Linked DNA regions of Elephas maximus indicus. The protein of the gene in region 4 interacts with the protein of the main gene of each other region in a biochemical or structural test. Links are inferred from orthologs where the notes say so. Each region holds a gene or a part of one and is shown on either strand. Other genes may lie near its edges. The genes, in order: TOP2B, PML, CDKN1A and HDAC1.

Region 1 (7,575 bases), on a different chromosome or scaffold from region 4:
ACATTTTTCTCCTGTCCATTATGCTCTGTTGCGATCCTTGTTAGAGAAGTCTGTGACGGTAGCCAGGTACCATGTAGTTCTTCTGGGCTCAGGCTGGTGGAGTCTCTGATTCATGTGGTCCTTTAGTCCTCTGGGCTAGTACTTTCCTTGTGTCTTTGGTTTTCTTCATTCTCCTTTGTTCTGGGTTGGATGGGACCAATAGATGTATCTTAGATGGCTGCTCACAAGCTTTTAATATACTGAATGCTACTCACCAAAGTGGGCTGTAGAACATTTTCTTTATGAACTATGTTATGCCAATTGACCTAGATGTCCCCCAGTACTATGGTCCCTGGCCTCCAGCCCCAGCCACTCGGTCCCTCAAAGTGTTTGGATGTATCTAGGAAACTTCTGCGTTTCTGCTTTGGTCCAGTTGTGCAGATTTCCCCTGAATTGTGTGTTGTCTTTCCCTTCACCAAAGCTGTTAAGTAACTTTTAAAAGTGAAAATATACAGTACTTACAAAATATTTGAAGCAATTAAATTAGTCATGAAAAGTCAGTTAAGAATCTACTATTTACCATAGAAACACTGAAAACCAAAAGGTTACAGTGACAATAGCTTTCTTCCCTATTTGAGCTCACTTCTAAAGAAATAAAACAAACTAAAATACATTTACAACATTTAGTAGTCATTATCTGGACAACCATTTATTGAGTTTACTATAGACCAGACATAGCAAATTTCTCTTCTTACCCTAGCAACTTTGTATATATTAAGGATCCATAAAGACTAACACAATGAAAGGGAGGGGTAAAATAGCAGACATTGAATCCTGAATTCAAGTTGTAATTTCTTTAAACACTTCATAGGTTACAGATTACTTACCCTCCCCCCCGCCATACTGAATCTTAATGTTGGAACAATACATAATTTAACTGTAAACTCTATTGAAACTATGTCAGAGACCTAGAAGTACAATTTTGAGTTATTGTCTTCTTAAGCTATTAAGTAACTCACTCTATGTAAAGTGCAATGTGGAAAGTATATATTCATTAAATAGCAAATAAATGAATATAAAATTGCTTTCAGACCCAGAAGACTAGTTTAAAAACATATAACTCGGGGTGTGAGCTTAAGGCAGAGACTACATCTTTATCACCTTTTTGAATCCCTAGGTCCTGAATGCCTAACACACAGTCAGCATTAAGAACCAATCTTGATTGATTGCTGCGCTGGGTAAACATGAGACCTAAAAATTCTTAGGAAGAAAGACCTGGCAATCTACTTCTGAAAAATCAGCTACCGAAAATTCCATAGAGCACAATTCTACTCTAATATACATGGGATTGTCATGAGTTGGAGGCCCCTTTACGGCAGGCAACTGGTGGTAGTGGCAGGAAGATAAACTCTCATGGTAGATACTCAGAGAGCTTGGTTAAATAAAGGCCTTTATTTTTACAGTTTATAGAACTGACTTTGAGTTCTACAATTATGCATTTTGGCTGGTGCTTGCTATGAGGTGGAAATTAAGTCTTTAAATGAAATGTATTTAAAAAAAAACCCTAACAAAAGAGTGGTAACCAAACAAGACAAACCTGATATAGAAGCTTTTTAATGTGGCAATTATTGCTAGTTACTCTGTAAAGGAAAATCGCTTGACAGTACCCCAGAAGGGAAAGCTGAGCTCAAGTTGGGTATACTCAATTTTATCCTTAAGATAGACGTGTTAAGTCTGCAGCAAACAGTTAAAAAGACCAACAGCCCTTTGGGAATTGAGATACTTTTGATCCAGGTAACTTCTTTCACATATCAAGTAATCTTTGCTTTAAAATGCAATTTGCACGTGTAGTCAATAATCTTTTTATTTGCGATTTTTTTACATCAGTGTTTTCCATAGAATAAAACAAAAAACATTTACTAGAGGCTTTTTTTTTTTTCTTCAATACTTAGAAGGCTAAAGGGCTCCATAACACCTCACCTAGGAGGCAAGTGAAAAGATAAACATTATTTTCATTAACTAGCTTATTTGACTTTTGGGTGTTCTTGTTTTAGTCATTTCCAACTCTGAAGCTACAGAGCTTTGAAAATGGAAGTTTTAAGAAGGAGAGAGCTGTAGTATTATATACCTTGGCATCTTCTTATCGTGGATATCTTTCTTTCTTTTTTTTTTTTAAGCCACAGCCTTTAAAATTATTTACCCTTTTTCAAACATAAGATATATGTATACTTTGGAGATGTAAAGCCACATTAAGTACAAGAGTAAAAATCTTGGTTTTAATGAGGAACAAACAAGGTCTTAAATAACATGGCCTTAAATACCAAGGCCATGGTTACTTAGCTGGTTAGGTTCAGAGCCCAGATTAAACCCTGGTCTGTCTGACTTTCAAGTTTGCACCCCATGTTCAAGGTAAAGAAAGGCGTCAGTGTCTGAACCAAAGTCCTCAATGTGCCAAAGTGAATGGCCACCAGAGAGCTAATTAAGAAAAACTATGTTGAAATTATTTCCATGTTTCAGAGTTTCCCACCTCTAGACTCAGAAGGCAGTTGAAAGATGTGACCCTAGACATTTTTGTTTTCCCTTGAGAGGAAACACACAATTGGGAGGGAAGTTCACAAAAACACCTTTTCATAAAAGCAGTAATACTGTTTTCATCTTTTGAAAAACCTCACTTGACACAACTCTTTGGCAGCACTCCATGCCCTCAAGTACCCATTCTGGTGTTTTCTTAGGTATTGCCTTGAGATAGTTAGCTCTTTTTAGTCCGTCTCTTCAGCCAGGTTATAAATGGCCTGAAATACCACAAAAACCCTTGTGGTGGAGTCAATTCCAACTCATAGCAACCGTGTAGGACAGAGTAGAACTGTCCTACCGGGTTTCTAAACCTGTAATCTTTATAAAAGGAGACTACCACATCTTTCTTCTGGAGTGGTGGAGGGCTGGTGGATTCTGACCACCGACTTCTCAGCAGAGCAACCTAGCGCTTAACCCTGTGCCACCAGGGCTCCTTGGCTGGAAATCAGGGGCTCTGTTTTTATGTCGAACTCATCGCAGAGCCTGGCACAGTGTGGCAGAGTGTGCGCCCAATAAATACTTGTAGAATGGAAGGCGGGGTGAATTTCAGTAAAGCCATCTTCCATCTGCCAAAGACTTGGGTGCGACTGTATGGGTAGATTTTCATTCCTAGAAAGCTTTAACCTGAATGAAATCATTCCTTGGTGTGCATCTGAAAATTTCACAGGAAAGGAGTTTAATAAGCGTGCCCTCCTAGAGGTAGCTGGCACAGCTTCTAGGTAGAAAAGTGACAGGGACTTCTCTGCATTGTTCACTGCAGAGAGAGAGGTCAACAAAGAGTAGACCCAGAACACGCACCCCACCCTGCATTCTTTCCCTGGAACGTGCTCTGTGAGTTCTGAAACATTCAAGTTCTTTAAAGGCAGTTTTCTTGAGACTGACCGTGTCCCCTTTTGGGGGGAGGGGAGGGGGGAGGGGACGGAGGTGGAGGAGGGGCGGGATTCATTCGACAGCAGCGTCCATTTGGGACCTTGGGGAGGCCGCATCAGGGGGACCCTCTTTGCTCCAGTGGTCTACAACGCTCTAGCCTGCGGTTTACAACCGCTCTTTAAAAATACTTTCCCTCTGGGACGGCCCCCGACTTCTTCCTGCCCGTCCTCCCTCCCCCAGCCGCCCCGGGCCAAGGAACGCCTCGTCTTCGCGGGCAGGTCTTTGAGTGAACGACACGGTCGAAGGATTACAGTCGCCCCGAGTCCAAGTCGACCCTTTGGCTCTGTCGCCCTCCAATGACCCCTGACAGCGGCCCCTGTTCCCCCTCAAACGGAAAGCCCGCAGCCACACACACAAACAAAAAACCCTAAGTCTGCCTCTCGGTTGCTACCCGCAATGACGTTTCCCTCTCGGGTCCCGCCCCTCCGCGGGCCTGGAATTTCGGGATTGGCCGAGAGGCAGGGCGGCGAGGCCCGGATTGGGCGGCCGGGCGCTGAGTGACAGCGGGGGCGGCCGCTGCGGCCGGCGCGCCTTCCCTTCCTCCCTCCCGGCTGCGCGAGCGACTGTGTGTGAGGGGTGTTATGCCGGACGCGAGGGAGGCGGCCGTGGCGGCGGCGGTGGCGGTGGCGGCGGCGGCTCTGTTTATTGTCCCCGTCGGCGGGTGGATGTGAGGAAGCCGGGGCTGCAGCGCGGCCGACGCGGGCAGCCTGTGAGGCGCGGCGGCGGCGGCAGCGAGCGCGAGCCCCGAGCCGCCGGCCTCCGGGGAGCGTGAGGAAGGACAAGGAGCCTCCGTCCCCGCCACGTCCGAACGCGCCCCTCGGGCCCCTCGGCTGGCTGCGGCGCCCGCGAGCGAGCGAGCGACGACGACGACGCGGAGGAGCAGGCAGCGCTGCCGCCCCGCCGCCCCGGCCTCCTGCGCTTCCTCTTCCTCAGCCGCCGCGCTAGGCCCAGGCGACGCGGCCACCGCGCCTCGAGTTTGAGGGCGGCGGGCGGCGCGGCCTCCTCGGCGGCTCGGCCGGGCGTCCGCCCCGGGTCTCGGCGATGGGGCGCGGGGGCCGGCGCGGCTAGGAGCGCGGCGGGGAGCCGAGCGGTCGGTGCGGAGCAGCGGGGCGCGGCGGCCGGCGGGGCGGAGGGAGCGGCGGCCGCGGCCTCGGGGCCTGGGAGCCGGAGCACCCGCCATGGCCAAGACGGGCGGCGGCGCGGGAGCGGGCGACGGGGCGCTGAGCTGGGTGGTGAGTAGCGGGCGGCGCCGGGGCGCCAGCTGGGTGCGCTGAGCTGGGTGGCGTCGGGGCGCCGGGTCCTTGGCGGGCGCCGGGGCGGGGGTGGGGGGCGGGGAGCTGGCGGGCCCCGAACTCGCGCCCCGCGGGCGCAGCCCGCCCCTTTCCTTTCTTCTCTCTCCTCCCTGCCTCCATGGAGGCTCAGGCGCTGGGAGCCTACTGTGCACTTGCAACTTTGGGGGCCAGACCGTGGACGTGACCTGGGGCCCCGCTCCCCCCTTTTTCCCTCTCCCCCCGAGCCTTCCTGGGCAGTCGGCTGTGAGTGCACGGGGAGGGCGACAGTGCTGTGTGTCCCTGTGGTCAGCATTTTCCCCGAACGTGGTGCACGAAAATCCCGGGGAAAGGGGTGTGCGCGCGCCTGGATGCTCAGTGCAGCCGTGCCTGCAGCGCTCGTCTCTCTCGGAAGAATGGTTTTGGCGGGGCAGCAGTTTACACCTGGATTGGGAAAGCCTGTTTGAATGGAAAGCGCACTGGGGATTGCAGTCTCTCAGCAGTGGCTGGACGGTAGATGGTCCAGTGTCAGGCTGGGATTATGAACGGAAGCGCTCACCTGGGTCAGCAGCGCAGGTGAAACGGGTGGGGGCTGCACGGCGTGTGCTGGGAGGTGACTGAAGGGGCTGAGCCCTGGAGGGAAAGGATTTCGGCGCCGAGGTCCTGCTGGGGAGTCCAGGTAGCGGAGGGAAGACCTGGAGAGGCCCGATTCCCACGGCAGATCGATAATTCGCTAGCATTTCACTTGCTCGGCCCTGAGTTCAGGCCAGGGTCATTTCCTACACGGAAAACCTAGCTCAGCCAGCGGACTAGGTGCCTAGCAAGGGGTGGGGCTGGGGGTGAGGGGGAGGACACGTTACAGTACTCAGATTTTTGAAGCCCACCTCCTTTTTTAAACAACCCAGGGAAACTTTTCTATTGGCATTTTTGTTATTTTCTTCATTTTCCCTTTACTTGGGTGAGGTTTAGGCGAGTTGACTGGCAGCTGTTCCTTTTTGACAAGTGTGTCGGTTCTTTGTAACTCTGTTGCTCTCTGTTACTCATAGCAGAGAAAACATTTTAACCATTTTTGTTGGAGTGCCAAGGTGCCTTGCAAAATAACTTGCCAGGCTTATTGTCCATCTTTAGATTACTCCAATAATGTAGTATGAATGGACGAGCTAAGAGGGATAAAATGTCAGATAATTAATTAGTGGTCCGTGTGGACGTGGCCACGGCGGAGCGAGGAGAGGGACTGCGTAAGTGCAGAAGAATGATTTTAAATATTGATGGCCCTTACTGAAATCAAATAACATCTGAAAATGGAGGTAGCCAGATGGCATTGTGAGTTCTCATTACTATTTGGAAGTGTTAAGGCCTGATCAGTGTTTCCTCTGAGGCTCTCTGATTCTGTATTGGTAAATATTTTGCTCCGAGATCACATTGTTTGGCTTTAACATCTGGTATTAGTATTTTAATTTACTGTGATTTAACTTTGCAGATGAGTAAATGACCACGTTTTCTTTCAAGCTCAATAGGAATCTTTCATTTAGTGAAATAAGAAATTTAGTGAAACTTGGAGGGTCTCATTCAACATTAAAAAATTTCATTTGAAACTAAAATTGATTCATTGATAAAAGAAATAGATACATGCTTATTTTTATGTTCGTATTTCTGTTTTTTATAAATTATGAAAATATCTTGAAAACGAATTATTTTTAAGTCAGGGTATTCAGGTTCAGAATATCTTCTGTGTGGACAGCTCAGTGGTTAAAACCATGAAAAAAATTAACTTTTAAAAAATATAGATGTATTTGTTACCATTGGCTACTTTTAAGTGAAACTAAGTGTCTGAACTTGTATTAAAACTCATGATTGGTGTTCATATGATCTTGTAATCTGCTGTGGTTATCTTAATTTTTTTATATTGAATTTCTAATTTGCTGGAAAGGTAGAGAAGTCTGTTTTATATGGTTCAGTTACATGGCAACAACAATAAAGTATTAATAGAACTATTGCATATTAGTAAATTAATAGACTTGAAGATACTGTTGTTTTTAGTGTTAAGACTAGAACTTGAGATGCATTTTTTATTTTCTGTGACTAAGATTGGCTATTTGCCAATCTTGTATTCTATTGAACTTCTAAAATTCTATTTTCAAAAGATCTGTTGAATAACTTTTATTTTTTGGAGAACAAGGAAAGCATTTCTCTTTTGACCAAGTTCTGTAAAAAACCCAAATTATTTGTAGAAACATCAAGGACTAGGGTACATATGAAAAATTTTTTTCCTGGAGGTTTACCCCATGCCCATTTCTACTGAATCAAAGTTTAAACATAAGTATATAGTTCTGTTTTAGCAGGATTAAAAGATGGAATTTTGATGGTTATGCTAAATAGTTGATAAGGCAAGGAAAAAAATAATTTAATTTTGATCTAATAAAGAATAACTTTTAGCTCTAATCCCTTCCATATTTTGTTTGGATTTTGGAAGTATAAAATATTACTAAAAAGTTAAACATTTCAGACTTTAGTCATCTTTTTGACATTGGGAGGTAAATCTTGGCTTTATTCCTATGTGGTATTTCTTTTTATTATAAAACTAATTATGGGTAATATGAGAAATAATGTAAAACGAAAGAAGTACAAGTCATATAATCTTTTATTTATATTTTCTTCATATTGAATTAGAAGTTTAAAAAAAAGTCACTACTACAAGTTCACTTTAAGATTTGATGTTTCCTTTAAATCTGTAAAGTCAGATTATATGAACATCTTTATATCCATATATACATCATTGATCATAGACTGGTTTAATTTTTTGGGAGGCAATGTAGTGAGGTAG
Region 2 (7,832 bases), on a different chromosome or scaffold from region 4:
CACTTCCACGAAGGGATTTGCTGTGAGTAGCCAATCAGTTGGAAGGGAGTTTCCCTTGGGGTGTAGCCTGCATCCAATATAGGCGGAATTTCCGGCAAGGCTTTCGGGTTTTTGCTTACTCTGGATCCTGCAGCTGGCACCTGTTCATCTGACCTTCAGTTCTTGGGATTTGAGCTAGCAGCCGATCTACCGCTCTTGGGTTCACCAGCCCCTGCAGCTATATGAGTCAGGAGAAGACTTCAGCCTGACGCATGAACTTAGGATTTCCCAAACTCTACAGCTGCATGAGCCACTTCCTTGATATGAATCTCTCTCTCTCTCTCTGTATGTATATGTATGCATGTACAGATAGAAATATATACATATATATATATATACGTTGTTGCGGTTGTTAGGTGCCGTTGAGTAGGATCCAACCCATAGCGGCCACATGCACAACAGAATGAAACACCGCCAGGTCCTGCACCATCCTTAAAATCATTGTTATGCTTGAGCTCATTGTTGCAGCCACTGTGTCAATCCACCTCGTTGAGGATCTGCCTCTTTTCTGCTGACCCTGTACTTTGCTAAGCATGACGTCCTTTGTCAAGGACTGATCCCTCCTGGCAACACGTCCAAAGTATGGAAGATGCAGTCTCGCCATCCTTGCTTCTAAGGAGCATTCTGGTTGTACTGCTTCCAAGACAGATTTGTTCATTCTTTTGGCCGTCCACAGTATATTCAATATTCTTTGCCAACACCACAGTTCAAAGGTGTCAATTCTTCTTCAGTCTTCCTTATTCACTGTCCAGCTTTCACATGCATATGATGCGATTGAAAATACCATGGCATGGATTGGGGCACCTTGGTCTTCAAAGTGACATCTTTGCTTTTCAACACTTTAAAGAGGCCCTTTGCAGCAGGTTTACCCAATGCAATGCGTCTTTTGATTTTTTGACTGCTGCTTCCATGGCTGTTGATTGTGGATCCAAGTAAAATGAAATCCTTGAAAACTTCAATCTTTTCTCCATTTATCATGATGTTGCTCATTGGTCCAGTTGTGAGGATTTTTGTTTTCTTTATATGTTGAGGTGCAATCCATACTGAAGGCTGTGGTCTTTGATCTTCATTAGTAAGTGCTTCAAGTCCTCTTCACTTTCAGCAAGCAAGGTTGTGTCACCTGCATAACGCAGGTTGTTAATGAGTCTTCCTCCAATCCTGCTGCCCCGTTCTTCATATAGTCCAGCTTCTTGGATTATTTGCTCAGCATACGGATCGAATAGGCATGGTGAAAGGATACAACCCTGATGTATACCTTTCCTGACTTTAAACCCATCAGTATCCCCTTGTTCTGTCCAAACAACTGCCTCCTGATCTATGTAAAGGTTCCTCATGAGCACAATTAAGTGTTCTGGAATTCCCATTCTTCGCAATGTTATCTATAATTTGTTATGAACCACACAGTCAAATGCCTTTACATAGTCAATAAAACACAGGTAAACATCCTTCTGGTATTCTCTGCTTTCAGCCAGGATCCATCTGACATCAGCAATGATATCCCTGGTTCCACGTCCTCTTCTGAAACTGGCCTGAATTTCTGGCAGTTCCCTGTCGATATACTGCTACAGCGGTTTTTGAATGATCTTCAGCAAAATTTTCCTTGCGTATGATATTGTTCTATAATTTCCACATTCAGTTGGATCACCTTTCTTGGGAATAGGCATAAATATGGGTCTCTTCCAGTCAGTGGCACAGCGGTTAAGCGTTTGGCTGCTACACAAAAAAAAGGTCAACAGTTTGAATCTGCTAGCTGCTCCTTGCAATCCCTATGGGGCAGTTCTGCTCTGTCCTACAGGGGATCGACTCGAAGGCAATGGGTTTAGTTTTGGTCTAAATATCTCTTGGCATAGACGAGTGAGCACCTCCAGCGCTACATCCATTTGTTGAAACATCTCAATTGATATTCCGTCAATTCCTGGAGCCTTGTTTTCTGCCAATGCCTTCAGAGTCCCTTGGACTTCTTCCTTCAGTACCATCAGTTCCTGATCATATGCCACCTCTTGAAATGGTTGAACATCGACGAATTCTTTTTGGTATGAGTCTGTGTATTCCTTCCATCTTCTTTTGATGCTTCCTGCGTCGTTTAATATTTTCCCCATAGAATCCTTCATTATTGCAACTCAAGGTTTGAATTTTTTCTTCAGCTCTTTTAGCTCGAGAAACACCGAGAGTGTCCTTCCCTTTTGGTTTTCTATCTCCAGTTCTTTGCACGTCATTTTAATACTTTACTTTTCTTGCGCCACCATTTGAAATCTTCTGTTCAGTTTACTTCATCATTTCTTCCTTATACTTACATATACAGAGTGTTATGGATTGAAATGTATCCCCAAAAAATGTGTGTCAACTTGGCTATGCCATGTTTCCCAGTATTGTGCGACCGTCCAACATTTTGTGAGCTGATGTGATTTTCCTATGTGTTGTAAATCCTGCCTCTATGGTGTTGAGACAGGATTAGAGGCAGTTATGTTAATTCGGCAGGACTCAATCTATAAGATTAGGTTGTGTCTTAAATCGGCCTCTCTTGAGATATAAAAGAGAGAAGTGTGCAGAGAGACAAGGAGACCTCATACCACCTAGAAACAAGAGCCAGGAGAACAGTGTGTCGTTTGGACCTGGGGTCCCTGTGCTGAGAAGCTCCTAGACTAGGGGAAGACTGATGACAAGAACCTTCCTCCAGGGCCAGCAGTGTGAGAAAGCCATCCCCTGGAGCTGGCATCCTGAATTTGGACTTCTAGCCTCCTAGATTGCGAAAGAATAAATTTCTCTGTTAAAGCCATCTACTTGTGGTATTTGTGTTATAGCAGCACTAGATAACTAAGACAGAGAGAAGCGCTTCACTCGTTTAGCATTTCCAAAGAACCCAGCCTAAGACAATGGATTAAAAAAAAAAAAAAAAACTTCTCGGAGAATAACAAAGAAGCTAATAGCAGGGGGTACTTGTTTGGAGGAAGGTGTGCGAAGTGTCTGGATGGGGTCAGGAACGTGAGAAATCATTTTCTTTGTGCCTTTTTAATCTTTAAAAAATTTTTGAGCCATGTGAATGTATTAGCTATTTAAAAATTAAATAATTATTTTAAAATAACACCAAACCAACAAAAAAACCCAGTGCCGTCGAGTTGATTCCGACTCATAGCGACCCTAGAGGACAGAGTAAAGCTGCCCCATAGAGTTTCCAAAAAAACACCAATATTAATATATATTAACACATCAACATAGCATAAACATTTTAAAAGTACTATTCACCAGGTTGTCTTGAGGAAAAAAAATAATATATAGGCAATGTTGAGTCCAATACAGTGACACATACAACACCCGATAATGGCCACTATTTTTGTCCCCTCCCAAAATCCCTGCCCACATCCCTCTCATACTTTAGGTTCCAGTTCCCCAAATTGAAAGTGCCCACGTGCCTCTTCCGCCTGTACCCTTGCAGGGGCCTTCCCCTCTGGCCGACTATCTTTCCCCTCCTCTTCTCTCATGGCCCACTTAGCCTCAAGTCTCAGGCATCACCTCCTCCAGGAAGACTCCTGTGATTGACATAACCCTCATGCTCCCTTCCTCCATGGCAGTCCTCACCCTTTGTGGACTCCAAGGTTTGCTTAATCCTCCATAGCCCAGGGTCCTTGAGCCTATGCACTCCTTTCCCCTGTAGTGTTGCCCTGGCCAAGAAATGAACTCTCTCCCACACCCTCCTCACCCCATGTTGGCTGGGTAGGTCCTGTCCTCTACCCACACCAAACCAAAACTAAACCCATTGCCTTCGAGTCGATCCCCTGTAGGACAGAGCAGAACTGCCCCATAGGGATTGCAAGGAGCAGCTAGCAGATTCAAACTGTTGACCTTTTTTTTGTGTAGCAGCCAAACGCTTAACCGCTGTGCCACCACCCACACAAATATCCAGAAAAGTTTCAGTTTCCCCTAAATGTTACGTTGCTCTTCTCAAACCCACAGAGAAACTCAGCAGTTTCAGTTTCTCCTAGGTTTTGATCTCATCATTCCTGTCTCCCCTGGCTCAGCCTGGAGGGGTAAGTGCTATCTTCTGGCAAAGGCACGGCAAAGGCACGGCTGTCCTGGTGAGGATCTGCGGGGCTTCCTGTTAACGCTGTGCCTGCTGTGTGCAATAGGGATGACGGAATACATGAATCGCTCACTCGCGCAGTTCATGGTCCCTCAGGCAAGGCAGGCAAACATTAGGAACACCTAGGGACCAAGCACTGCCATCCCCACGGGGCCTCAAGGGGCATGGGAGTGTGGCTGCTGGGGATTGGAGGGAAGACTTAGTCCCAGCTGAAAGGGGCCAGTAAGGGTTAGAGGGCACAGACAACCCCAGCTGGAAAGTTTCAGGGCCCGGAAACACCTGTAGATGTTCCAGGCTTGGGGAGAGGGCGCCCTAGAGCTAAAGCCTGAATCCCCATGGCCGTGAGGTCTGCGCTGGGCCTTAGGGAGGTGCCTCAGGCACTGTGGAGACACACAGGAGGAGGGAAAACGCAGTGCCAGGCAATGGCTGGAGCAGAGGGGCAAGCTGGACCAGCCTGACCTGGACAAAGAGGGAGCACGCCCTGGGAGGGCCAGGCCTGATTCCAGAGGACAAGCTGAGCTTGTTCCTCAAAGGAGACACTCATTTAGCTCTGATTTTTGTCTGTTTTTTTCCGTAACACTCTCCAGGAAGTAAGCTTCATTTCTCAGGACTAGAGAAGTCGGAGGCCCATCTCTGGGGCCTCTGGGGCTGGGGCACTGAAGAGAAACCCACTGGGCCCCTGGGGCCAGGCCTCAACGTCTATCTGTGTGCACCCCTTCAGCCAGTGGAGAAACAAGCAGTGACCCTGGGTGGCCCAGGAGAGGATGATTGCAGCCCAGCCCCTCTCCTTAAGGTGATGAGCCCCCCGCCCTACCCCTCATTAGGTCCAGGTGTTTGGGGGCCCAGTTTTGACCTGCCCATGCCCCTCTCTCCTAGTAAACCTGTACCTCCACCATAAAGAGGGATAACAGAGTGACCCCCTGTCCCACCCTCCTGCCTGTGGGAGGAGTCAACACTTGGAGTCACTCAGCAAAGAAGGGCACAGCAGGGGTATCTGGACCCCCGTGGCCCTGGCCCAGCAGTAGGGGCATTGCCTCATGGACCCTCCTAGGCTACTCCCACTACATCCAGTCTCCACTCCTTCTCTCTTCTGATTGTAAACACATTTATTTCTTTTGGAGGTTTTCAGGCCTCTGGCTAGAAGCACGGGAACAGCAGGGCTTCCCTTCATGCTGCCCTGGGTCCCGGCCCATCACGCATGCAAGACGGCCGGTACATGAATCAGGTTATCCTCAGGAGCAGGGCCAGGGGAGGAGCAGGCCCTGCTCTCTCCCATCCCCACCCTCCAACTAGCCTGGGCCTGGGCTGCACCCAGGAAGGCGGGCCCAGCCCGGATCCCCAGGTGCCTCCGCTGTAGTGAGTGCTTCTCGGTGGCTGCCTGGCTTCTCCCTCCCCCAACCCTTTCTGCACCCCTCCTTCTGAGCTCCCCCAGCATTCCGAGCCGGAGCCACACAGTCTGGCCCCTCGCTCAAGGCTAAAGCAGCTGCTGCCAGGCTGTTTCTGTGGTCCTGGCTTCCCAGCCAGGTAGGCAGCAGAGCAGGGCAGGCCCATCCACACTATGTACCCAGCTCAGGGGATGGGCAAAGGCTTGTCCAGGGAACCAGTGTTGCAGGCAAGAAGGGCAAAACAGCCTGGTTTGGCCTCTCTCGGCCTCCGCTGTCTGCCAGCCTCTGTCCATTGGCCCCAGCTGGGCCTGAAATGCCAGAGAGCCTCAATTCTCCAAGGTGCATCAACAGTGCTGCCTCCTCCTCCAAGAGGCCTTCCTGGCTTGGCACCAAGCTCGAGGCTGGGCTACAGGTGGTCAGCTGAGGCTGCTGCTACTTCAGGGCCCTGAGGACAGCCTCCAGCTTCATGGCCACGGCCAGGTCACCCTTCACCTTCAGCCGCCCGCTCATGTAGGCCCCCAGGGGCCGTAGCTCCCTACAAAGCAGGGCCCGCAGGTCCGCCTCGGTCATCTCCACCAGCACGTCAGGGATGCCATCAGGCACCCCACGTCCCACTCTCCCTCGCCCTGTTGGGGAAAGAAAACGGAGTGTTAGTGGGGTGATTACCGGGATGGGGGAGGGGTGCTGCTGAATTCCCCTGCTGACCTATTCTGTAAAATGGATCTTATCCGCAATACAAAAAGCCTTCCCTCCATCTGTTTCAGAACTGCTGGACTGCAGGGTTATCACGTCCTACCGGGAGAGGGGAAACCCTGGTGCCAAAGATGTTAAGTGCTACGGCTGCTAACCAAAGGCTCGGCAGTTCGAATCTGCCAGGCGCTCCTTAGAAACTCTAGGGGGCAGTTCTACTCTGTCCTATAGGGTCGCTACGAGTCGGAATTGACTTGACAGCACTGGGTTTGGTTTTTGTTTTGGACTGGGAGAGGTGGAAAGCAGTGGTTGGAGTTGAGGTGCTAACACCCTGGGTTTCAGTCCTATTGGCTGTGTGGCCGCTCAGAGCCTCAGTTTCCTGATCTGTGAAACGGGGATGATAGCAATCCCTAAATCATAGAATCAGGTGCAATAACACACAAGAAGTGCTTCACACAGTGCCTGCGACACAGTAGGGCCACAACACACGCAGGCTCTTGGTGTGGGACGCCTGGCCCTCTGAGCTGTACTGCCAATGGTGGGGGGCCGAGCCTGGACAATCATTGTCGGAAAATGGCATCTGAGCCCCAGACTGCCATTTGAGTTCACCCGAAACTGCTGGCAGGAGTAGGAGACAGTCTGAAAGAGGACCACTGGGGGTGGGGGGACCTACAAGCAACCTGGGTAGGAAAGAAGGGCAGGCAGGCTGTCGCACCTGTGGTGAGGTCCAGGAAGTAAATGTTCTGGGTGCCACTGGGCATGATGACATTGAACTGGTAGCAGGCTCCGACCTGGCTGACCAAGGCCTCAGACAGGAAGGGCTGCAGAGCAGTCAGCAGCTCCTCAGCCACAGGCTGCTTCAGGCTGGGCCCAGCGCTGACACTGGGGGCAGGCAGCTCAACTTCACTCACCATCTCCAAGGTGTCTGCTGGGGAGGGAGGCAGAGAGGAGGGAGCAAAGGTCAGTGTGCTGCCAAGGCCAGGGCACTGTGGCCTCAGTACCTGTGTGCGGCAGTTCCCCTCATAGCCCTTTCAGGCCTCTATCAACTTCCTTCTCCGCTAAGAAGCACCCCCTGGGTTCCAGCCCTAATCCCCCAGCCAGCTCAACCTACTCCAGCTTTGAGTATAAGACTCGTTTCCCAGCTTCCCTCTGGGCCCTGTTGCCTCCCTCCCATGGGGGTTCCCAAAGGCCTCCACACTCCCAGACACCTGGACTCTACTCACTGCCTTAGCTCTGGTCAGCTCTAGCATCAGGGCTGCTTGAACAGCTGTGCAGGGTGTGCCCTGCACAAGTGTGCCTGGTTAAGGAAGAACGTGGCCAAGTGCAGCCTGAGCTGTGCTCTGCTTGCCAAGCTGAGTGCTCTGGTGCAGGGCCCCATATGCCCAAACTAGATGCCTTTTTCTGTCTCCATCAAAGGTGCTGTATGAGCTAGAGAAGCCCTGGCTAGCACCAACCTCCCACAAAACACCCTTCTCCCCACAAAAAGTCTCCATTTCCTCTCTCAGCCCAGGTACATGAAGAGCGGCCTCCTCTCCCCTACCATCCTCGCAGGGCTCCTCACCTGGCCCCGGGGGCAGGGCACCTCCTGCCACTGAGGACATGCCTCCTCCCAGGAAGTGAAGGGCCAGCTGCTGGAGGGT
Region 3 (7,800 bases), on a different chromosome or scaffold from region 4:
ATCTACCCCACCCCCCACCTCTCACAATGAACAGGGAGAAACAACTTTAAGTCTCAGCTCACTGGGGAGGGTGTAAAGGGCAGGTGCTCAAAAGGCTATGAAACTTATTCCGAAATCACACAGTTAAAAAGGAAAGGGCCTCTGTCCCACAAAGGGGGCAACGGTGCCGTGGGCAAATCCATCGAATAATCTTTGTTGGCTCTCTTCAGGGCAGGGGGTGAGATTTATTTATATATTTTTATGTGCCAGGGACTGGTCTAAGCACTTTACAAATATTAATCCTCCGAGCACATGCGTATATATTAGCTCCTTTACACAGAAAAGGGAACCAAGGCTCAGAGAGGTTAAGTAATATACCCAGGGTTACAATGGATACAAGTAGATTTGAATCCAGGCGTGTCTGCCCTGAGTTCTATGCTCTCAGCCCCTACACCCTGCTCCTTCTCCAGTTTTGAAGTTTCTTAACCAGGTATGTCCAGCAGGCTTACCTGGAGGGCTTTCTCAAAGCACACATTGGTGGTGCTCCTTCCCTAGACCATCTTAATCCAGACTGGATTCAAGCAAGTGTTTGGTGCAGCTCCCCAAGAGGGTCTGATGGGCTCCCCTGGGGTGACAGCGAGGCGCACAGAAAGGCTGGAGTGGGGATTCTGGGTCTCCACGACCCAATGGCACAAGGAGGAGGAGCCCGCTTTACGGTGAGCTGGATATTCCCCGGCTTCTAGGAGCTGAAGATGGGTCCCGCAGGATCCCTCTCCCCTTCTACCATTCGTTGCCTGATGGCTCTTATGGGCCTCTCCTTCCCCATTAAAATCTGCTTTCACGCCCAGTATCATAACTCCCAGCTCAGAAAAAAACACAAACCCTCGTTTTACAAAGAAGAAGAGCTTCCCTCGTTGGGCTGCGTGTCTTAGACCAAACCCTAGTGTGACACTTCAGCCATATTTTAATCCCCAGGTAAATAGTAAACGCTCAGTAAATACTGTTGAACCAATGGGGTACTCTTTTTAAGTGGCGGTATGGGGAGAACAAGGTTGGAGCAGCCCAGGGGTAGCGGCGGGAAGGAAAGGCGGGCGAAGCCTGATTCCGTTGGAAGGGATGTTTGCTATTCCAGACAAGGCCGGGAGGGGGCGCTGATCTCCAGGAAATCACGCGCAGGGTGGGAGGTGCGTGGGCAGAGCCTTAGACAGCGAGAGGGACAAATTGTGATGAGTCAGTTTCCTGCAAAGCGCTCCCGCCAGCCAAAACCCCCCTTCCACTCCTGCTGCGCGTCACCCTGGCGTAGGGAAGGAGGAGACTGCGAGGGAGGGGCCGGGGGCCGCGAACACGTCACTCTAAGCGGGCCCGGCTTCCGAAACCCCCGCCGCTGTTGGGAAACCGCGCGTTCTCGCGCCGTCTCTGTCACACACATACACACACACGCACGCACGCACGCACAGGCGCGCCAAGATCTGGCCCTCCACCTTATCTCCACGCCCAAAGCACGGGATGAGTCAGATCCCTGGAAAATAAAAATAGACGGGAACAACGAAAATAAAACCGCTCGAAAGTCCTCCCCGAATCGCTACGTGGAGGGAGGGAGACAGGGAGGGAGCTGCCCCGGTGCCCCAAAGTACCAAACCGAGTAACAAGATACTTTTCCGCACGAGAAGGGTGCAAGGGTCCACCGGGCGCCCAAGACAGCTCCCCAAGTGACTCTGATGGTGCCAGTGGTCCGTGGTCCGCCCTGGGTGGCTGCGCCCGAGCGCGATTCGCCCTTCTGCCCCGCTCAATTCTTTGGCCCTCGGAGAGGGAGTTTGGGGCTATGCCGGGGGCGCCTCGAGTCCCTGGATCCGAGTCCCGAAAGACACAGGCCTTGGACAGCATCTGAACCCTCGGAAGCCCCATCTCGCAAAGACGCGCCCCCTCCCACCTCCCACTCCGCAAAGATGCGCCCCCTCCCACCGCCCACCCTGGAGTGGGCTCAGCTCCGGCTCCAGCTCCGGAGTCCAGCGTCCCAACCCGAGGACAGGCTGGGCGGGGTTCTCCCGACGGCGGTGCGAAAAGGGTAGATGAGACCCCTGCGCTTCTCCCACGGAGAACCCGCGCCGCGCGGCAGGAGCCGGACCCCAGGTCCTGGACCTTCCAGTGCCCCGGCTTCCCCGGGAACACGCTGTGCCAGCCAAGTAGGTCACTGTGTTGATGGGGGACTGAGACTGCGGAGGGGCGGAAGGCTTCTGGGGCGCCCGCCCCCCGCCCGGGCGGGGTTTTGATCTTACCCGGCCCGCTCCCCGGGGTCTCCTTGTCACCGTGAGTCACCTCCTCTCTTGTTCTTAAGGGACGTGTCCTGGCACATTCCCGAGGGCCGGGGACACAGCCCGCGCTGACCTCAGCGCCAAAGGGGTGTCGGGCACGGCGGCGTCGGGGATCTGGACCTCACGGGCCTGGGTCCTGGCGGCACGAATTGGGTCCGAAAGCCAGAGAGCGGCCCCGGGGCGGAGCCCACTTTAACCTGCTCAGCGCTCCCCCGGCGTCCCCCTACGGCCTGCGGCGGCCGGGGCCTCCGGACCACGACGAGAGCCAAGCGGCACGGGGGGTCAGGGGGGCTACCCTACAGCCGCAAGCTCCGAGGACGGCCCCACCCACGCCTTTCCTAGCTCCAGGAGAGTTTCAGGGAGAAGAGAGCGGGCAGAGGATCCCCAGTACTGGTGCCCTCCCTCCCGCCTTGAGGCCCCAATACATCCCGACCCCCGTCACACGCACTTACAGACACTCGTGCGCGCAAAGCCCAGCGCACAGACACACGCCTGTCATTCACCTGCCGCAGAAACAACTGTAGACGCAGCACACACACACGGACACATCCGGACACACACGCAGACACACTCAGCTCAGAGTTGCCGGCCCAGGGTCTGCTCTTGTCTGTCGCGGCTCCCTCACCTCGTCTGAGTGGCTCGCTGTCTCTGCGAATCCGCGCCCGGCTCCGGGTGTCCAAGCCACTGACTCCAACAGCCGCTCACACCTCAGCTGGTGCTGCCTGGCGCAGCCTTGATATATAGCCACGGCTCAGGCACGCCTCGGGAGGCGGGACCCGCCGCTCGGCCCACCGCGCCGGGGACCGCCCTCCCCGGGGGCCCGGGCGGCTCCGCGCCCGAGTCTGGGCGGGGTTCCAGGCCCTGGGACAACTGTAGGTCTCGGAACCTCGGGAGCTGCAGGAGGCGCGTCCCGTCGCTCCTGGGCTTGCGCGCTTTACACATTTCTCCACGAATTGAGCCACAAACCCGGCTTTTTCCAGTTGAAGAGTGAGTGGGCGCTTCGCAGGACCAGGACGGCGTAGTTAGGAGGACCCCCCCTCCCTCTTCCTGGCCCCCCGCTGGCGGACTCCAGGCAAGGACTTACCCATCACAGCTGAAAAGATCACAAGGAATGGCATTAATAAATAATATTCCATAAATAATAAAAATTATGTACCTCACTTTGCAATTCCCAGAAAAGCCTCACTATCCCACCACAATTCCCACAGAGCTCTCACTAGACCACCTCTCCTTGATGCACGCTGGGGCAACCAGACACCCTAACAAGCATCCTTGAGGCCAGAACAGAATTCGATCTGCTTTATTTCAAGATGAGGAAACAGGCCCAGTAAACCTAAGGGGTACAGAGCTGGCGCTTGTCAAGTGCCTCAGAGAAAGAGGGAACTGGGGACACTTCAGAAGGACCAGCACGGTTTCCAGGAAATCGGAAAATGGAACCAACCTCCCCGCCTGTTCCTCTCCCAGCTTCTCACCTCAACAGAAGAAACCACTGATTACAGCAGACTTGATGTTTAAGAAGGGCAGAAGGTCATTACACACTTTTAAGAAGTACCTATATGGGATCAAAGTGACAGCAGCAACTGGAAAGATTCAATAGGAACCTTAGAGGGCAGTGAGTTTATGTTAATGGGGGAACAACTCAGAAATGGAGGGTGAGAGTGGCTGCACAACTCAAAGTCCGTCATCAGTGTCCCTGAATTGTACGTGTAGAAGTGGTTGAATTGGTATATGTTTTGCGGTGTATATTCTTAGCCACAACTACCAAATCAAAAAAAGAAAAAGAAGGGGAGAAGGATTTGGTGATTTATCTCCTGGATATTCCCACACACACTTCACATTTCCTGTGGGGGAAATTGTTGCCCAGAGAATCTAAGTGATTTAACTCAGGTCACACAATAAATAAATGGCTATGGCAGGGCTGGAACTCAGGTTTTTTACCTCCTGCCATGCTTCTGCCTGCTGCCTTCTCTGCTTCGGTGACTCTAGAATGGGGGGTGGGGGGAGGGACTCTGCAGGACCCCTCATTTGCAGGCAGCTTACTGAGGTAACATTAAAGCCAGACAATTCTGGAAGTGTCCGCTGGTGTTTCTGACAGATACAGAGCCACGTGAGATGTCCAGCCATTCCCACTCACCCTCACACCTTAGCCCCCCTTGCACCCCACCTTTGCCTCTTTCCTTCCCCTGATGCATTTGCAGTTTGTGCTTTAAAAAAAATTATAAAACATGATGAACGTGTCACTGAACGGTACATGTGAAGACTGCTGAAATGGCAAACGTTACCTATTATTTACCACAAAAAAAAAAAATTTTTTTTTTAATATTGCAGAGAATGGAGTGTAAATCTGAAGAGAAATCCCATTAAAAAATAGAATCCAGGCTCTTGGAAGGGCTGTAATTACTGACATCTCGGGCTGTTGAGTGTCTGGAAATCTCTGCCCAGACATGCCCAGTCTTCTTCCTCTAAAGCAGCTGACCTCAGGGAACAGGCTTCTTCCTCTAGTGTTGGGATGGGAGCCCCTGTAGAAGTGGGAGGGTGCTGCCCCAGACCCCTAACTCTGCCTGGACCTCAAGTCAGGCCAGAATTGTCGCTGGACCTCAGGAGGGTCCCAGAGAAGTTGAGGTCCCAGGGCCGCCACCCCCCAGCACCTGCCCCCACCTCCCTTCCACCTACACCACTCAAGTGCTGGGTTGTCAAATGTCCAATAGAGGACAAGCACATTCCCCAGCTGCCTTGAATCCCCCCAGCTTTCGGGCATTTCAGATAGACTTGACATTATCTGTCTGTTTACTTTGGAATTTTTTTTTTTTTTAATGAAGGCTTATATTGAATTATTTACAGTTTTGTGGTACTGAGATTCACAATGAAATAATTCTTTTTGTTGTTGTTATTGGGAAGTGAATTTTTTAATAGCTTCTAGCTCCCCACCACCACCATAATGGGATTCAGCAAATATTTAGTAAGCACCTACTAAGTGTCTAGCACTAGGTACGTTAAAAAAAAAAAAAAAAAAAATGTTTGCAGCATGTAGCCAGGCACATCCTTCAAGGGAGGATTTCTGTCTTGAAGAGGGCAAAGGAGCAGGTTGTTAGAGGTCACAAGAGCTGATTCTCACCTTGCATGCATGCATGCGCGCGCACACACACACACACACACACACACACACACACAGCTGTGCCAGTTCCCAGACCAATCCCAAGAAATCTACTGCAAACCAAATTTTCTGTTCCAAGGAACTCAGGCTCCTGAGGGAAGACTCTGACCCAAGGAGGCCAAGATCTCTCTGGAGTGTACTGCAAACCACATTTTTTGTTCAGTGAAACTCAGGCCCCTGAAGGAAGACTCTGACCAAGAAGGCCAAGATCTCTCTGGGGTCTCTGGGGGTTCCCCATCTCCTACCACACCCTCCCCACCCCAAAATAGAGAGCAGCCACCAGCCTCTTCTATGCCATGGCTCAACTTGTTGGGACATGTCCCTAAGGGCCAGAGGGCCGATGGGGGCCACTGCCTGCTGCCCAGGCATGCTCCCCAGGAGGCAAGCAGCTTAGGGATGGAAGGAGTCTCAGCCTAGAAGACAGGAGGGTCTAGGCCAACCCCACATCCCCACCCAGCAGGCTCCAGATAATGGAAGGGAAAGGTGGAAAGCACAGGCCTGAGGAAAGAGGATGTGAGGAGGGCCCCATGGTGGCTGCAGGAGCTACCCAGGAAAGGAGAGGAAGTGCTGGGGATAATGTCACCATTTCTCAGAAGAGGTCTGGGGAGTCCCAAAACAGGGACAGCCAGCTTTCAGAGGAATTCAGCTCCACACAGAGTCCCAAGAAGCGAGACCCCAGAGAAGAAGCAGAGCAGAGATATTACACCACCAAGCAGAATAAGTAAGCCCTGCTTTTTTTTTTTTTTTAAGAAGAATGAGATTGGGAGCCCCCACCCTCACCTGATTGGGGGCTTTATGCAACCAGCACAAGGGTCAGGGCTGACCATACAGAGAGGCACAGAAATTGTGACAGAATTTGTGCCATACAAATACTTCTAGTCTCCCTAGCTTACTAGCCAAAGCCTGAAATTTCGCCATTAGAAATTAATTCCTTTGACTTAGATTTGGTTCTTTGTTAAATAAGATCGTATAGGAAAAGTGCTCAGCATAGTGAAATCACCTCACAAATTTTAATTATGATTACTGCTATAGGACAAACACTCTGAGAGAAGGCATCCCTTGGAGTTTAGTAATCATTTGCACTTTTGTGAGTGTCTTTGGTATGTGTCCCAGAAAACACACTCTGAGCAGAGATTTTCATGCAGGAGGTTTATTGGAAAGTGCATTCAGGATCAACACCTATGAGGGTGTAAAGGAAACAGGATCCAGCAGAAGGAGGAATTGGGCTGTGGTGAAGGCTGATCCCGCTGGAAGCTCCAGAACTAGGGTGGTTCTGCAGAGTTGCTGAATTGAAGCAAGGGGGCTACTGTGACCAGTGGCTTGTGGGGACAGAGGGGTGGCAAGGGAACTCCCTTATCTGAGGCCAATTCCTGAAGAAGGACTCAGTTGTATTAACAGCCAACACTCCAGACCAGGTCCTTCAGGGGTTCTGGGTGGCACAGCACAATGTGAATGACTTAACCATTTAGGGACTAACCTGTTGCCGCTAAGTCGATTCCAACTCATAGTGACCCTATAGGACAGAGTAGAACTGCCCCACAGTGTTTCCAAGGCTGTAATCTTTACAGAAGCAGACTGCCACATCTTTCTCCCACGGAGAAGCTGGCGGGTTCAAACTGCTGACCTTTCAGTTAGCGGCCAAGCGCTGTAACCACCAGAGTTCCTTTAGGGACTAGAAAGAGGCAAGGAAATGCTATGGACAGAGGCCACCTGAGGAGCAAAGGGCCCCTCTGTCTCTTTGATCATAGTGTTCTCTCTTCCTGGTATGGGTTTCCCTGACCAGTCTACCTCACCTCCACTCCTTTCTCTGCCTGTTGAACTCCTTCTGATCCTTCATGATCCAACCCACATGCCCCTTGGGGGTGAGGTCTTCTAGGGCTCCCTTTGGCTTCCAACGCTCTTGGGGTGCAAGCCTCTCAACTACGCTGTGCTGGCATGCTTGGTCTTCGTGCTGAGTGCATCCTCTGAGCTGGGAACCTGGGGGTGGGGGTATGAGCTCATATTTTATTCATCTTTGTACCTTCTAGGCCTAGCAGCCTCAGCTTGGAACTCAGTGAATATTTATGCAACGGCCATTTTTGGCCTACACTCTGAGGTGAGGCTTCAGTGCCCCTGTTTCTGAGCCCTCTCTTTAATAGTCATCCATCTATTCATTCATTCATTTAAAAAAAAAACTCCCACTGCACCATTCCCGGAAACCCTGATGGCTTAGTGGTTAAGTGCTATGGCTGCTAACCAAAAGGTCAGCAGTTCAAATTCACTAGGCGCTCCTTGGATACACAATGGGGCAGTTCTACTCTGTCCTATAGGGTTGCTGTGAGTTGGAATCGATTCAATGGCAACGGATTCAGTTTT
Region 4 (7,177 bases):
TAAGCACTCTGCACATGAATCCTGTCACATGTAACACGTACACATTTTGTGTTTTGTGCATGTGTCCTGTACTTGTGTGGGCTCTTCACATGTGTCTTGTACATGTGTGGCCTGTGCCTTTATGTTTTGGGCACCTGTCCAAGGTGTCCCTTTCTGGGCTGTCCTACTTTCTGAGACCACAAGAGAAAGGACAGAGGCCCGTGACTGACACCAGCTTCTGGCCCCACTCCCTCTTCTTTCCCCTGGTGAGCAAGAACTCCTAGAGGGCTGGGACCTTGTCTGATACCTCTCTATGCTCCTCCTTGGTGCCTAGCACACATCAGGAGCTCAATAAATGTCTGTTTGTTGATGAATGTGGTACATGTCTCTGTTCCCCACTCCCATCTCCTCGTCCTTGGGGTGTGGAGTGGGGATTCAGAAGAGGGAAACTGGATCACCCTGAATTGGTTACACCCTGAGGGAACATCTGAACTTTTTTCCAGTCCTGGTGATGCTGGGGGCCAAGGGGACGTGCCTACACTTTGCTGTATGGGCTCTCCCAATCCCTTCAAATGGAACAGTACACCTCACCTCTACCCCCATGGATTCAGTTCAATCCCCACCTGGAATTGCCTCCAGTGCGTCATTGGATCCCCTCCCTCCCACTGTATAAGGGCAATTGCATTTTTTTACAGCCAGTAATTCAAGGGCTGCATCTGGCCTTGAATATGTTTTGATTTACCTTCAGGATGTTTTTAAAAATTGAATTAGTTAATTTATTTAACAAATATGTATTAACCGTCTACTGTTCTAGGCTCATAGGATATACAGTTGATAAAACTCACACGCAAATCTCTGCCTTTGTGAACTTACATTCTAGTAAGGGAAGACAGACAATAAACAATAAACATCATAAATAAATTATATCATATGCTACAAGGTGCTAGGGGAAAAACAGAGCAGAGCAAAGGGGATTAGGAATGCCATGTTTGGGGAAAAGTTTGCCATTTTAAAGAAGGTGGTCAGGGAAGGCCTCATTGAGAAGATGACATTTGAGCAAAGATTTGAAGGAGCTGAGGGAATAGTCTGAGGCAGGAGTTTGCCTGGCATGTTCAGAGCGGTAATGGTGGCCAGAGAGAGGGAATTAAATCCTAGGACCTCGGCCTTGTGCCCTTTGCAGGAGCCATTTTGAGAAGCCTTTGCAAAGATTTGTGCAGAGCTATGATATGATCTGACTTACATTTTAAAAAGGAGCCCTAGTGGTACAACGGTTAAAAGTGGGGCTGCTAGCCAAACGGTTGGTGGTTTCAACCCAAACACCTATTCTCTGGGAGAAAGTCCTGGCGATCTGCTTCCCTTAAGATTACAGCCTAGAAAACCCTATGGGGCAGTTCTACTCTGTTACATGGGGTCACTATGAGTCGGAATCTTGACTCAACAGCAACATCACATTTTAAAAGGATGTCTCTTACCACTGTATTGAGAACTGACTGCATTAACAGCCAATGTATAAAACTGGGGAGGTTTTGAATAAAACTTCAGATTTCTGCTTTCTTTTGAAAGATAGGAAGAGTTGACCGTTTTGGGCCCTCATGGAGCTAAGTAGCGGCTGCCCCGTTTAAGTGGGGTATGAGCTCTCCCTCCCTTTTGCTCTGAGACAATGAAATTGAGTGTTAATAAGTGTTTAACATCATTGTTCTTATAATAAACAGGAAAACTAATTTTTTTTGGTATCCACATCTCCATTAAAAAGTGAGAAAATTAAAGATACCCCAAGATGGCAGTGTGTTTAAAGAAAGGTAGGAGAAAGGCATATTTCTTTACAAAAATGAAAAATGGCCCAATTTTTAAAACATGCAAACAAAGAGCATCTCAGTAAAAAAAACATAAATTTCACTCATTTACATCACCTACCTGATCTCTGGTGGTACAAGGGTTAAGCACTCAGCTGCTAAGGTTGGGGGTTCGAATCCACCCAGCTGCTGTGCTGTAGAAAGACCTGGCAATCTGCTCCTGTAAACATTGCACTCTAGAAAACCCTAAGGTGCAGTTCTACTCTGTCACATGGGGTTGCTACGAGTAGAAATCAACTCAATGGCACCAAACAACAACATTTGAGCTCTGTAGACATCTGAGTTTGTGACCCCTGTTTATAAAGTGCTGCCACACCCATAATCTCATCTGATTCCCACCCTCCTCCTGTTTTGGACACTGTGTACCGCCACAGAGTTGGTGAACTTTGTATTCTTATCCTCCCCATTTTTCAACAGGAAAATGGAGGTCCAGTAAGGTTAAGTAAACCCACCCAAGAACAGCTAAGAAGTAGCAACGCAGACCCCGGAATAGAGTTTGTTCCCTAGTTCATTGTTATTTTTATAATAGAATGAAAGGTCCAGTCTTAGATCGCCTGTAACCTTTATAATTAATGGTTCAAACGCAGTTCCTAAGTGAGAACACATGTCCCCAAACACTCCTTGATCTGTAAAGAGGCATAAAAATGTATCCTATTGACTGTAATACTAAGGGTAAGCTACCTACTTAGTATAATGCTTGGTACATAGTAAGCGCTCATTAAATATTAATGTTGTTGTAGTCGTTATCTTCATAGCTCAGCACAGTGCTTTTCACTCTTTCAGTTTCAACAATGGCCAGTTGATGATGAATTGATCTAGTGCAGTCCTTCTCAAGGGGAGTATGGTGGGTGGTTTGAGCTTTCCCTGCCCCAGGGACATTTGGCAATGTCTGCAGACATTTTTAGTTGTCCTAACCGGGGGGTGGAGGATGTTACTGGCATCTAATGGGTAGAGGGCAGGGATGCTGCTAAATGTCCTACAATGCAATGCACAGGACAGCCCCCCAAAACTAAGAATTACCTGGCCCCAATACCTCCAAGGTTGAGAAACTCTAATCTAGGGAACAGGGCAATACAGGTTACTCCTGCCTAAAGCCAAAAAAACATTAGGGAGCCCTGGTGGCATAGTGGTTAAGAGCTCAGCTGTTAACCAGAACGTCAGCAGTTTGACTCCACCAGCCGCTCCTTGGAAACCCTACGGGGCAGTTCTACTCTGTCCTGTATGGTCGCTATGAGTCCGAACTGACTGAATGGCACCTAACAACAACAACAACAAAACCAAAAAAACAAACTAGTAGCCCTCAAGTGGATTCTGCTCCAGGGTGACCCCATGTGAAGATACTCCTTAATCCTCCCGGGCGATGCACCAGCGAGGTTTCTGCCGCTTTGTTACAAAGCCTCTGGCATACAGTGGGTAGTCAAAAATTCTGTAAAAGTGAAAATTAAATTTAACAATTAATCATGTGACTCAGCAGTTCACAGAGGTCTGAACTTCATTATCTTTATCTGTAAAATGGGGATGAAAAGCCCGCTTCCAAAACTATTATGAGGAATAACTGAGAAGAGTGTGGTAAAGCTATTGCACAGTACTTGGTCTCCAGCAAGCCCTTGACAGTTTGTCATTTTATTTCTCTCTCCTCTAAACTTGCGTCCTAATTCAGGTGCAGCCCCTTCCTTAGTAGGTGACCTTAGGCAAATCACTTTTCCTCTGTGTTGTTGTTAGGTGTCATAGAGTTGGTTCCAGCTCATAGCGACAGAAGGAAACACTGCCCGGTCCTGCGCTAACCTCACACTCCCTAACTTCACACTCGTTCTGTTTGAGCCCATTGTTGCAGTCACTGTGTCAATCCATCTCATTGAGGGTCTTCCTCTTTTTCTTGACCCTTTACTTTACCAAGCACGACGTCCTTCTCCAGGGACTGGGCCCTCCTGATAACATGTCCAAAGTACGTGAGACAAGTCTAGCCATCCTCGCTTCTAAGGAGCATTCTGGCTGTACTTCTTCTTTCCTCTATAGGCCTCATTTTATTCTCTGTAAAATTACAAAATTGGCCTCTGATCTCCAAGCACTCTTCCAACGACGAAATGGGACAGCGAAGTTTACAGATCTGTTTTCCTCCCCCGGGACTAATGGTACGGTCCCCGGGCAGTTTCCCCCACCCCCTGTCGCGACCTTGGTACAGGCCCAGGGGGCCCTCGGCTGCCTCTCAGGGCTGCCCTTGCCCCCTGCCGAGTTCCGGGCCCGTCCCTGCTCAAGCTGATTGGCTGGAGAGGTGCCCGGGCTGCGCGGCTATAGGTGAGCCCGGGAGGGGACGGGCGGAGCGGGCTGGAGGCCCGCCCTCTCCCCCCTGGGTCGGACGCTGCGCGGAGCCGCGGGCGGGAGGGCAGACGGACCGACTGACGGGAGGGACGGGAGGCGAGCAAGATGGCGCAGACTCAGGGCACCAAGAGGAAAGTCTGTTACTACTACGACGGTGAGCACTGTCCTCGCGGCGGGGGCGGGGCCTGGGCCGGGCCGAACCCGGGAGAAGGAGGCTTAGGTCGAGGAGCTCTGAGAGAAGGCTGAGGCGTTGAGGAGAGGCTGAGTGAGGAGGTTGAGACGAATGAGGTCGCGACTGAGGGAGGAGGCTGAAGGAGCCAGGAAAAGGTGGAGGCTGAGAGAGGAGGCAGATAAAGGAAGGAGGATGAGGCTGAGGAGAAGAGGAGGTCGAGGCTGAAGGAGGAGACTGAGAGGAAGGCGGGTAAAACTGAGGGAGGAAGCTGAGAGGGGAAAGGAGGTCGAGGCAGAGGGAGGAGGCTGAGGCCAGAGGGAGTTGTTTGGGCGAGGACTGAGGTAGTCTTGGGAGGATTCTGAAGAAGTCTGATGTAGAGTTTGGGTTTGGGTGGTACTTTTAGAGGGGAGGCTGAGTCTGAGGGGGGAGGTAGTCTGATGGAGAAGGTTGAAAGGACATATATTCCTGCTGAGAATACACAGGTCTTTCCCTGTCCCTTATTCATCCTTTTCAGTGAGAGTCCTGAGAGAATCGCCAACTAGTGGTCACCAGCTTCCTCTCTCCCCAGTCTCTGAACAGGGCTTGCAATTGCTGCTGGGAGTTGGGGCCCCCGGGGTTGGAAGGAGAAGGATGCAACCTGTTAAAACGAACTTTTTCTTTTAACAAAAATGTGTCAATGACTTACTCTCTACTAGGTAGCGTTTAGGTCCTGGCGCCATGGGGATGATCAAGTCACACTTCCCATCTTCAGCTCACAATCTAGAGGGAAGGATAGACAATGACAGAGAATTACTCTCCAGTATTACTGTTGGGATAAAGGAAAACTCAGAGTTGAGCAGAAAAGAGACATCCAACCCAGCCTGGGGAGTCAGGGAAGGAGGTGCTGTCTCAGAACCTGAAGAACAGGAGTTAGCCAAGCACAGGGAAAGCAAAGATTACAGCAAGTTTAGGGTCTAGAGAGGACCCCCCCCCCAAAAAAAAAACCATTGGCATTGAGTTGATTCCAACTCATAGTGACCCTCTAGGACAGAGTAGAACTGCCCCACAGGGTTTCCAAGGCTGTAATCTTTATGGAAGCAGACTGCCACATGTCTCTGCCGTGGAGCAGCTGGTGAGTTTGCACTGCTGACCTTTCAGTTAGCAGCTGAGCACTTCACCACTGTGCCACCAGGACTCCTTAGAGAGAGGACAGCACCTTTGAAAATAACAGATATATGTATATAAGGCTGAGGCATAGAGTTGGGGGCAGAATGTAGAAGGTAGGGAGCAGGAATGGGGGAAGGGTTGCAAGTGAGGAGGCTGGGGGAGTAAATGGGGATCAGATCACGAGGGGCCAGGCATGCTATCCCAAGGAAGTTAGACTTAAATCTGAGGGCATTTGTGAGCGATTGAAGTTTTATTCATTGAAATTCTATCAGATTTATGCCTTAGAAATATCGCTCTGGGGCATAAATTAAATTTATGAATGTAGGGGCTTGGTAGGAGAAAGACCTCGTGAACTGTTTCTGTAAAGATTACAGTCAAGGAAACCCTATGTTCAGCTCTGTCCCATGGGGTCGCTGTGAGTTGAAATTGATTTGATAGCACCTCACAGCAACAACAACAACAACAGGGATGAGGAAGAAAACAAGGATCCCAAATTTCTAGCTTGTGCAACCTGATGGTGGGTGTGGGAGAAGGCCATGTCAGTTGATACTTTTTTTTTTTTAGCAACATCTGTTAAGATACCTGGAGACATCCAAAGAGGGATGTCTAGTAGGCAGTTGACCATTTTAATCTGCAGTTTAGAAGAGAGGGATGATAAGATAGTTTATTTAGTTGTCAGCATACATAGATGGTAATTTTGCTCATGGGAGAGAATGAAGTCACCCAAGAAGTTGTATAGGGTGAAAAGAGGATCCAGGGTGGAATTCAGAGGAAAAGGAATATTTGGGAAGTCTAATGCCCCTCATGCTCTGTACTTCTCTGTCATAGTCCTTGTCACGGTGTACTGAAATTGCCCGTTAACTTGTTCATATTTCTTACGGACAGTAAGCCTTTTAAGGAAAGGGGTTATGCCTTGCCTACCTCTGTATCCCCAACCCCCTAGTTGTGAAGGCTCTCATATAATATATTAAAACAAACAAGCAGCATGTAGCTTATAGTAGGCTTTCAATAAATATTTGTTGCATAAATTAATAAAGACACAGAGGGAGTGACCAGGGAGGTACGTGAACCAGGAAGTGCTGGGTTACAGAAACGAAAGGAGAGAGGGAGTAGTCAGTTGTTGGCAAGAACTGTTTCTGGGCAGGGGCTAGGGCAGAAGCTAGATTGTAGTAAATTGAGGAGTGAATGGATGTGTGAAGAGGAGACATCAAGTTAAATCCTTTTTAAGGATTTTTAAATCCTTTTTAAGGGAGCAAGGAGAGACAGTTGTTGATAAAGGGGAGTTGTAGTGGCTGGGAGTTGAGCGTGTTCAAATTCTAAAACAAGCCAGGCGGTAGGGAGAGGTTTAAGATATAGGAGAGAAAGGCTGGTGGCTAGTGGTGATGGAGGTTCCTGATGAGATCAGGTAAGATGGAAACGGGAGCCTTCAAGAGGAAGTTCCTTTGTGACAAGAGGGTGAGGGGCAAGGAAAAGTTTAAACGTAGGTAAATTTAAAGAGGAGAAGGTAGGGAAAATGTTGAGAGCGTTCTTAGATGAAGAGAATATTCTCTTTCCTGAGAGTGAGGGAGGACAGCTGCTGGAGTAGGAATCTTGAAGAGAGAGATTAGCTGTCGTGAAAGAGGGAGTTAGGGAAATAAATCTAGATCACTGTGCAGTGGTGAGGCCCTCTTGAGGCTGGAGCTATTTCCGTTTGTAGGATTTTATGATC

Evidence for each region.
Region 1: the proteins of HDAC1 (region 4) and TOP2B form a complex in vitro, tested with the Homo sapiens proteins (2 studies listed by BioGRID). The link is inferred for Elephas maximus indicus from reciprocal best matches to the Homo sapiens genes HDAC1 and TOP2B.
Region 2: the proteins of HDAC1 (region 4) and PML form a complex in vitro, tested with the Homo sapiens proteins (2 studies listed by BioGRID). The link is inferred for Elephas maximus indicus from reciprocal best matches to the Homo sapiens genes HDAC1 and PML.
Region 3: the proteins of HDAC1 (region 4) and CDKN1A form a complex in vitro, tested with the Homo sapiens proteins (2 studies listed by BioGRID). The link is inferred for Elephas maximus indicus from reciprocal best matches to the Homo sapiens genes HDAC1 and CDKN1A.

Annotation. Positions count from the first base shown.
Region 1 is NC_064845.1:13,895,193-13,902,767, forward strand, and holds the start of TOP2B (DNA topoisomerase 2-beta), read left to right. Parts: upstream 1-4,566; 5' UTR 4,567-4,661; coding exon 4,662-4,715; intron 4,716-7,575. UniProt on the Homo sapiens protein: Key decatenating enzyme that alters DNA topology by binding to two double-stranded DNA molecules, generating a double-stranded break in one of the strands, passing the intact strand through the broken strand, and religating the broken strand.
Region 2 is NC_064831.1:64,098,092-64,105,923, forward strand, and holds the start of PML (protein PML), read left to right. Parts: upstream 1-4,827; 5' UTR 4,828-4,910; exon of another isoform or gene 4,911-5,934; coding exon of another isoform or gene 5,935-6,128; intron 6,129-6,907; coding exon of another isoform or gene 6,908-7,120; intron 7,121-7,753; coding exon of another isoform or gene 7,754-7,832. Other genes in the region: STOML1 (stomatin-like protein 1), read right to left, coding at 5,935-6,128, 6,908-7,120, 7,754-7,832.
Region 3 is NC_064819.1:100,349,571-100,357,370, reverse strand, and holds the start of CDKN1A (cyclin-dependent kinase inhibitor 1), read right to left. Parts: upstream 3,008-7,800; 5' UTR 2,917-3,007; intron 1-2,916. UniProt on the Homo sapiens protein: Plays an important role in controlling cell cycle progression and DNA damage-induced G2 arrest. Involved in p53/TP53 mediated inhibition of cellular proliferation in response to DNA damage.
Region 4 is NC_064821.1:73,172,511-73,179,687, forward strand, and holds the start of HDAC1 (histone deacetylase 1), read left to right. Parts: upstream 1-4,174; 5' UTR 4,175-4,256; coding exon 4,257-4,305; intron 4,306-7,177. UniProt on the Homo sapiens protein: Histone deacetylase that catalyzes the deacetylation of lysine residues on the N-terminal part of the core histones (H2A, H2B, H3 and H4).